Linked DNA regions of Tribolium castaneum. Each later gene encodes a partner of the first gene's protein in a complex. Links are inferred from orthologs where the notes say so. Each region holds a gene or a part of one and is shown on either strand. Other genes may lie near its edges. The genes, in order: Rab3-GAP and Rab3GAP1.

The links.
Region 2: the proteins of Rab3-GAP (region 1) and Rab3GAP1 are in contact, whole or in part, in a cryo-EM structure (PDB 8VYB), measured with the Homo sapiens proteins. The link is inferred for Tribolium castaneum from reciprocal best matches to the Homo sapiens genes RAB3GAP2 and RAB3GAP1. Residues at the interface, in NP_036546.2 of Homo sapiens: Arg197, His198, Pro199, Gly200, Ser276, Pro277, Phe278, Asp279, Met281, Lys282, Ser285, Asn286, Ile287, Gly289, Phe290, Asn291, Ala292, Ile294, Arg377, Phe378, Gly379, Leu380, Pro381, Asp382, Arg385, Cys395, Thr397, Leu398, Arg407, Arg415; in NP_036365.1 of Homo sapiens: Thr19, Ser21, Trp23, Glu24, Glu142, Ser143, Asn146, Leu147, Leu149, Ser150, Ser153, Ile154, Ile169, His170, Trp173, Arg174, Met176, Arg187, Asp189, Glu191, Met192, Val193, His194, Leu195, Arg196, Pro199, Tyr202, Ile211, Ser214, Lys215.

Annotation. Positions count from the first base shown.
Region 1 is NC_087395.1:21,700,883-21,704,798, forward strand, and holds the start of Rab3-GAP (rab3 GTPase-activating protein non-catalytic subunit), read left to right. Parts: upstream 1-1,504; 5' UTR 1,505-1,606; coding exon 1,607-1,691; intron 1,692-1,737; coding exon 1,738-1,958; intron 1,959-2,006; coding exon 2,007-2,277; intron 2,278-2,322; coding exon 2,323-2,641; intron 2,642-3,110; coding exon 3,111-3,916. Other genes in the region: chm (histone acetyltransferase KAT7), read right to left, coding at 1-1,136, 1,187-1,219. UniProt on the Homo sapiens protein: Regulatory subunit of the Rab3 GTPase-activating (Rab3GAP) complex composed of RAB3GAP1 and RAB3GAP2, which has GTPase-activating protein (GAP) activity towards various Rab3 subfamily members (RAB3A, RAB3B, RAB3C and RAB3D), RAB5A and RAB43, and guanine nucleotide exchange factor (GEF) activity towards RAB18.
Region 2 is NC_087398.1:6,845,147-6,849,062, forward strand, and holds the start of Rab3GAP1 (rab3 GTPase-activating protein catalytic subunit), read left to right. Parts: upstream 1-956; 5' UTR 957-1,041; coding exon 1,042-2,313; intron 2,314-2,966; coding exon 2,967-3,163; intron 3,164-3,167; exon of another isoform or gene 3,168-3,406; coding exon of another isoform or gene 3,407-3,687; intron 3,688-3,733; coding exon of another isoform or gene 3,734-3,916. Other genes in the region: uncharacterized protein LOC103313103, read left to right, coding at 1-123, 179-298, 350-432, 485-624, 672-771; haf (leucine-rich repeat and fibronectin type-III domain-containing protein 5), read right to left, coding at 3,407-3,687, 3,734-3,916. UniProt on the Homo sapiens protein: Catalytic subunit of the Rab3 GTPase-activating (Rab3GAP) complex composed of RAB3GAP1 and RAB3GAP2, which has GTPase-activating protein (GAP) activity towards various Rab3 subfamily members (RAB3A, RAB3B, RAB3C and RAB3D), RAB5A and RAB43, and guanine nucleotide exchange factor (GEF) activity towards RAB18.

The DNA.
Region 1 (3,916 bases):
TTCTCGTATTTGCCGCTCAGGTGGCCCACACTGTTGCAGCCTTCCAGGGGGCATTTGCGCTCCTCGATTATTATTATTTCCTCGGCTCGCGACTTGGCGTCGTTGCGTTTATTGTTCTTGGTTTTGCCTTTTGTGGTGACTGGGGCGCGCTTGACGGGGGACCGACTCAGCGATCTTTTCGTGCTTTCGGTGTCCGAATCCGTGTCGGAATAGACGCTTTTGCCCAAAACATGCTTGGATTTTCGGGTGCTAGCGGAGCGAGTCAACTTCCGAGTGACTTGTTTCGTGCTTTCCGTCTCCGAATCAGACACATTTCGATCTTTGGCAGCAACCAAAGTTTTTTTCGTAATTTTTTTATCGCTCATTTTCCGAGTAGTGCTGGACGATTCGGCGCTACTCTCACTATCAGAGCTGCTACTAGAGGCGGTTGAGGACGTAGCCGAACTCGCAGAACTGACCACGGCCTTAGATTTAGGCGCCGGTTTTTCGGGCTTCTTCTCCACAGGTTTGGGCTTCTCGACCGTTCTGGCCGCAGCCTTGGGCCGGGGTTTAGGTGGCGCGGGCTTCGGCCGACTCTTCTTGGCCGCATCGTCGGATTCGGAGCTATTTTCCGGCGAGAAAATGCTTTTTTTCTTGTTGGCGGAATCATTCTTTGCGTTTTTCCCGACCACCTTCTTCGGTGGTTCCTTCCCTTTGGCGCCCTTATTTTGCACGTTTTTAACGGCCGGTTTAGGCAGCGGCTTAGTGGCGGCTTTAGGCGTGATCGTGGCGCTGCTTTTAGGCTTTGCTGTGCTTTTGCGCTTCGCGCTAGGTTTAGGTTTGTCGTCATCTTCCGACGAGTAGATGGTGGTTTTGGCCGGTTGTTTCCCGGTTTTGGGGGCTTGGGTTTTGGGTTTAGGGGCCGGTTTGGGGTCTGATGACTTGGAAGTGCCGGTTTTGAGGCTGTCTGAGCTTTTGCGCGGGTTTTTCTGGATCGTTGCGCTCTTTTTTAATTCGGATCCGGATTGTTGTTTGGTGGATTCTTGCGAACTGGACGATTCGCTATCGCTGGATGAGGACGAGTCGGAACCGCTTGACGAAGAGCTGGAGCTGGAAGAGTCGCTTGAGCCGGAGGAGCTCTCGGTTGAGCTGGCGTGCTGGAAAAACTGGGGTCAGAAGGGAAACCGCGTTCGTAGACACGGCGTACCTTCTTGTTGTTGGGTGCAGTCATGTTGGACATGCCCTTTGTTGATTAAACGCTTTATTTACAAAAAATATCAACAAAGCACTTGACAATCCACTGACAGTTGTGCTTTAGGTTAGTTGGTTGGTGCTGCTAATCGCGACAATAGCACGAACTACGCGATGGATTTTAGCCAAAAAGTGGCCTTAACTAGTCACAAAAACGCACAAATCAATTGACTTGAAGTTGCTAATGCATCAAGTAATTAAGTTGTGCTTGAAAAAACACGTAAAAGCGATATAAATTAGAAAACTTAATATCGGAAACTGTAAAAGCGGAACAGAAACCTGTAATACCGTGTTACCATTTGCCATCCCATCGATTACTTGTCAAATCTGATTGTTTTTCAATGTGGTTTTTTAAAAAATTGCTAATTAGTCGAAAATGTCTTGCCAAATTAATGTGACGGCCAACATAGCGGACGTTCCCGCGATACGCAGGTGTCTTTTTCCAACTGATGATTCAAGGGGTAATTTTTTGTAATTTCGTACACAAAGCCTAATTAACTCTTGCAGGTTCTGATAGCTGGTTGCAGTTGTGCGAATTGTCGGTTTCCCCAACGGGTGATGTAATTGCACTCGCAAATGACCGTAGACTTGTTATTTTGACCTCAAAATGGGATACTAGTAGCTCACTAAGTCAATTTCAAATCACCTATTCCGGCTCTGTGCATGAAAGTGACAACATTAAATCAGTCATTTGTGTTCCTGTTGTAAGCCAGACTAAAAGCTCACATGTAATTCCCCCCACAAGTTTACTTTTTTCCCTAAAAAACCCATTCCAGATTGTCCCTGATTGGACTTGCATTTTGCTAGGATTCGAGTCAGGTTTTGTACGCTTTTATACCGAAAACTGCGAGCTGTTATTAGAGGAACAGCTTCACAATGAAGTAATTACGAGTATTAAATGTCGGAGCCAACACAACCCAAGGCCTGACATTGCCCCAGATCTGCACCCTGAGGAGATTTACGTACAATACCAAAGCACGGTTTGTGTCATTTCAGGAAACCAGTTATTTCCGATTTTGAGATCTTGCCGCAGCGATTTGGCTAAAGGTACAATCAGTTGCGATTTTTGCGTAAGTGAAACAAAGTTTCCAGTCCAAGCCAAAGGCGATAGTTTGGAGCTGACTCAGGGCAATCTGGCCCCCAAAAAATGGGGCTTCCAGGACCAGGCCACCATCAACGACATCGCGGTGGTTGGGGTTAATTTGCACGGGACTTTTGACCACCTACTTACAGCCTCAACCTGTGGCGGCTTTGACACCAAATACCGCTCGCAAGCCCCCTACAATAACCTTGTCTTGGCCGCGGGCTCGCGCCCTTTTGTGGGGTTCCACTACGCGCTGGAGGGGTGCCCCCAGCCCGTCTTCAGCGACGTGGCCAAAGCCGTCGCCACCAAAATCAAATCTGCGCTACCGTAAGCCCTACTATTATTAGGCAGTATTTTTAAATAAATTAAGTATTGTTTATTTTATTGCAAGCTTTATTCAGGGCCGAGCCAAGCCTAAACAGACCAAATTTTACAGAATATAATAAAAAGTCATTTCCGACTACGCAAAATTTCGTGAGACAACTGAAAAGTCTAACAAAACAGACCTGAAAAGTGTTAGTTTTTTACGAGCATCTTTCATAACTCTCTTTGATTTCAGATTTCTTATTGAACTGCGAGTGTAACTGTCCGACGATATTTAGTTACTGTTTTTTATTATGTTATTTTTGTTTCTTTTATTACATCTATTTCAGCTTTATCAGTGACAAGGAAATGATGGCATGTTTGCAATATAGTTTCACATTTAGTTGTTTCCTTATTTATTTCTGGTTCCGAAAATCTTGATTTGGCTCGGCCCTACTTTCTTAATTGGTCTTTAACTGCGGAAAATCCCCAGGGGCTGGCTTACGGGGAATAAGGCCTCAGTGGACAAGCAAATGACGGTGGCAATGCAGCCTGCAGAAAGCATGGGCTGCCGTTTCGGCCTCTGCGATTTGCGCCGCATTTCCACAAATATCGTCCTATCCCCAGATCATAAATTAGCAGCGGTGTCGGACGCCTTAGGACGCGTGATCTTGATGGATGCGTTCCGAGGCGTCACTTTGAGAATTTTCAAAGGCTACCGGGAGGCCCAGTGCTCCTTCATCCAAGTCCCGGACGAAAGACACTCAAAGCACAGGATCGGGAATAAAGTCGCGTTGTTTCTCGTGATTTACTCGTCAAAGAAAGGAACCGTTGAGATTTTCACGGTGCAACAGGGCCAAAAAATTTGCACCTTTTCGGCCTCGAAGTTCAGCCGTCTCGTTTACAACAATTACGGTCTCATGGGGTTCACAATCACCTCAAAGTCGCGGTTTGTCTGCCAGTTTGACACTGTTCTAATTGACAACGACGGCCAAATCAAGGAGGTCTTAATCCCGTTTCATTTCGCCTTAAGTGAGAAAAATAATAAAAGGGCTCGTGATATCCACCTGTTCAAGAAATTGAGACAGTTGTTGAAACATAGTGATTGTGATAGGGAGACGCTCGAGAGCGAGACGTTGAAAATTAGCGCGGAAATCAAAACCGTTGAGTTGAAACTGCAAACTTTAGAACTGCTACAAAGCGATAACAATCTCCCCGCGGAGATTATCCTAAAATGTGTTCAATTGTTCATAGATAGTTCCGAGCCGGAAGCGGATAATTTACGAATCGTTGCGGAAA
Region 2 (3,916 bases), on another chromosome or scaffold:
TCTTTGGGGAGATTGTGCCCAACACTGTTTTAAACTTTAAACAGATTGCAACAAACGGAATTGGTGGTAAAACGTACGAGGGGACAAAGTTTCACACCGTTGTTCAACGATTTATGATTCAAGGTCTATTATTAATAATCATAAATAATGTAATAGTAAATAATAATATTTCACTCAGGTGGTGATCTGATTTATAATAACGGTTCGGGTTCAATTAGCATTTACGGAAGATTTTTTAAAGACGAGAACTTCACAGTGAAACATAATGGACCAGGGATCGTCAGTATGGCAAATGGTGGTAGGCATAACTCTCAAAAAGTGTAATTATCACTTAAAAATACTTTTTAAGGCCGCAATACGAACGGGTGTCAATTTTTTATAACTACAATGTTTGCTCCGTGGTTGGACGGAATACATGTTGCATTTGGAAAGGTCTAAACCGTTTTTACAGTCAAAAAATAAATTATTTTACGGTGTTTTACAGGTCCTGAAAGGTCAGGACGTTGTTCACCGAATAGAACACTTGAAAACTGATACTGATAATCATCCCTTACACGATGTGACCATAATTCGGTCAGGGTTGCTTAAAACTCAGGCCTTTTATGAATCGGACGAACCATACGAGTACGATTCTAGATTGACTTGTGCCTACAAACTAAATGCTTTTCTAGATTAACATTTTGGGCGTGGATTAAAGCTGGATGGTTCCCTTTATCTTTTTCGTTCGCAATCATCGGATTTTTTCAGTGGTTTATGGTCCAGCTGAAGTGAACAAACCGCTATCATTTATTTTTATCACTTTGTTTTTCTAAACTATATAATATTCTCCTCTTCAGTTTTGTATGTTTTAACACGAGATCTGATTAATTAAATGTCGTAAATAATGTAGACTTTATTTTCATTAGTAAACTTACATGAAGCACTCTGTAAGGATCGGTATTGTTGGTTGCAGGCGTTGCAGCCCATTTGATGTCAAATAAAAACTGACGTCTACGTTCTAGGTTATGTTTTTAAGTAATTTGCAAAAAATATGTTAGAAAAATGAACGAGGAAATTGACGAAACGGAATTTTATCACCAAGATTTTACAACAGCCTCCGAATGGGAAATTTTTATTGCGCGCATCGAAGAAATTATAAACCAGTGGAAGACAGAAGAATTAAAGGACGAGGCAGCAGATACTGAACTGTTTGGCGAAATTTGGAGCATCAAGAGCGAAAACCTGTCTTTCGTTGACGTCGATTTCAAGTTAACTTTTCTCAGAAAACAATCCACATTGTCCAAAGTCGAAGACAATGAAGAAACCAAGAAAAAGAACCCTTTTGACACCATGTACGATTTTGAGCTCTACAATTCTAAGAACACAGTTGAGCACTCCTGTCTCAGCAAGTGGTACGGCATTGACGAGTACATAGTCCTAAGTCCCTCCGGAAATTTTGGAATAAATTCAGAAAGTAGGATCAAAGTCTTGCTAAGTTCCGTCTACGTTGCGTCAGCTAACTCGAAATGTGAAACCCCGATTTTTGTGCAAATTAGAGAAAAGTGGCAGAATTGCTACTTGGGCGTTTACGAGTCTGAATCCATAAGAACCAATCTGGAGATGGTACATTTGAAAACAAGCCCGCGACTGTACCAGTATTTGTCAGGTCTTTTGGAAATGTTCAAATCAAAAATCCTCTCCCCCATGACGATGACAACTATAATGGTTTCCTTGCAATCAAGCTACACTTTAACCGACTTTGGTAATTTCGTGTGGAAGCAGGATTACATAAACTCCGACAGTGACCACTTCGATAGCACAGACGTATGCAGTGTCCCCTTTGGCGTAACAATCGACCCAATCGAGTCAATAATTCTTAAAACTTCGTGGTCGCATCTAAACCACCGTGCGGTCAGAGACAGCGAAAGTTACAGCGATTTTGACCCGATGTTGGCCGCAAAATGGACAATGTTGATCACGACCGCCGAACAACCGCTTTGTTTGCTTGGGGAATGTTTGACGGAGTTTTTACACTTATTAAACAACTCGTCCTCGACGTACGACGTCCTGGGCGAGTTTGCGTCTTCAGCAACGGCAGCCGCTGATGTCAGCAATCCCTTGGATTTACTAACAGAGCCCAAGGTACCGACAATCTCAAGTTTACTCACTAGAGCGGCAAGAAATTCGCTAACGAAGAATAGGAGAGGCGTGGCACCTCTGTCTGAAGAGATTTTAGTGCCGATTCTGTACTTTTTATTTCCCGACGCGGAGGAAGACTCCCCACATGTCTATAAGGAAATGTTCAATAGCAACCCCAGCAATCCACCGCAGACTGTAAGCATCTGTTTTGCAGCAAACTTTTAACTACTTTTTATTGTCTTGTTAAAATAATAGAGTAGCTAGCAAAAAACGATTCACAATTAAGCATATCGTATTATTTAGTTTATTCTTTAAAATTCATCGTTTTCACAATGTTTAGCAGTTATTTTCAAAGATTTCGTCAAAAATAAGCCACAAAATTGAAATGAATTATAAGTGTTCTTATGTTATTACAGTAATTTTCAATATTATAATGAATTGTACTAAAAATACGTTAATTAGTAATTACTGTAGTAAGCAGAAAAAAACATGTAATAAAAGAACTAAAAAAAATTTAATATTTTTTGGAAATTATGCACTCATAGTTGACAATAGCTGGTTATCGCAGGAACAATTGAATTTCGTAAAATTGTAACGTAAATTTTTGTGTTATTTGCAATAATTTCAAAATTAGATGTGTATTTTACATATTATAGGCCATATAGTTAAAGAAGCGTATGCTTTCGTACGCGAGACAATCATTAAACGAAAGAATTTACGAAATAATGCCTAAAAGACATTTCCTGACTGTCACAAAATTAATTGACATTCAAAATTATTGACACCTGTATGTTCTGGTAGTTGGGGATTGGTAAATAATTCACTCGAGTGTTTGGTTTATATTTCAGGAAGAGAACGTTTTTAATCTCGATTATGAATGTCGAGGCTTCAAAACATGCCCTTCTGACTCTTTGATCTGGCGATTGTCAATCGTCTTGGGCCACGCTCTGCAATCTCTTGGAGGCATTCGGGCCTTTGCGCACCTGTGGTTCGAATTCGCCCAAGAAATGAGGTACAGATGGGAGAAGAGCATTCCAATTCCAGGGTAAGTCACTTAAGAGATTTATTTAATTTTGCGAAAGTTATATACAAAATAAACTCATACTTCCGTCAACATATAAATAGAGAAATATCGTTTAAATATAAAAATACATTATCATTATTCTCTAGTAACTATCTTTAAAATTACTTGTTAACTGATCCTACTATCAGTCGTGCTGTTGCGAATTGTCTGAATCAAATAACAGCCTTTTTGAATCATTCCTTGCGAACACATTGAGCAACTAAATCAGAGCGGTACGAGACCGTTCCTAGTGGTCGGGTTTCTCGCCATGTAAATGTCCATATCGTGGTCAGTCCAGTTGTCGGAATTGTCGCAATAATTGTTTAAAGTGTGAGTCGATCCAGCCGTGCTGTACCGGCTACTGGGCCTGTTGTAGTCCCGGGACCGGGATCTGGGTCTGGAGCGTCTGGAGGACGCCACGGAATGGGTCGGTGCGTGGTGACTAGGTCCACGAGTCGACAGTCTGTCCGATTGCATGGTCAAGGACTGTCTCGATTGGCGCAAATCTGCAATAACAAACTCAATACTTAGACTCAATTCGGGATAATTTACCTTGACGCGAAGTTATTAAGTTACTGGGAAATGCGTTCAAGTAGCGTCCAGAGTGGTTGGAAAAACTGTTCTGGGATTGTCCGTCGGCTATCGAACGCGATTTCGTGCCTTTTGTACTGAAGTGGGAACGCATGTCGTCCGCGATTAGGGTGGAGGGCTGGTCCAGCGAGTACATCCGGTTGT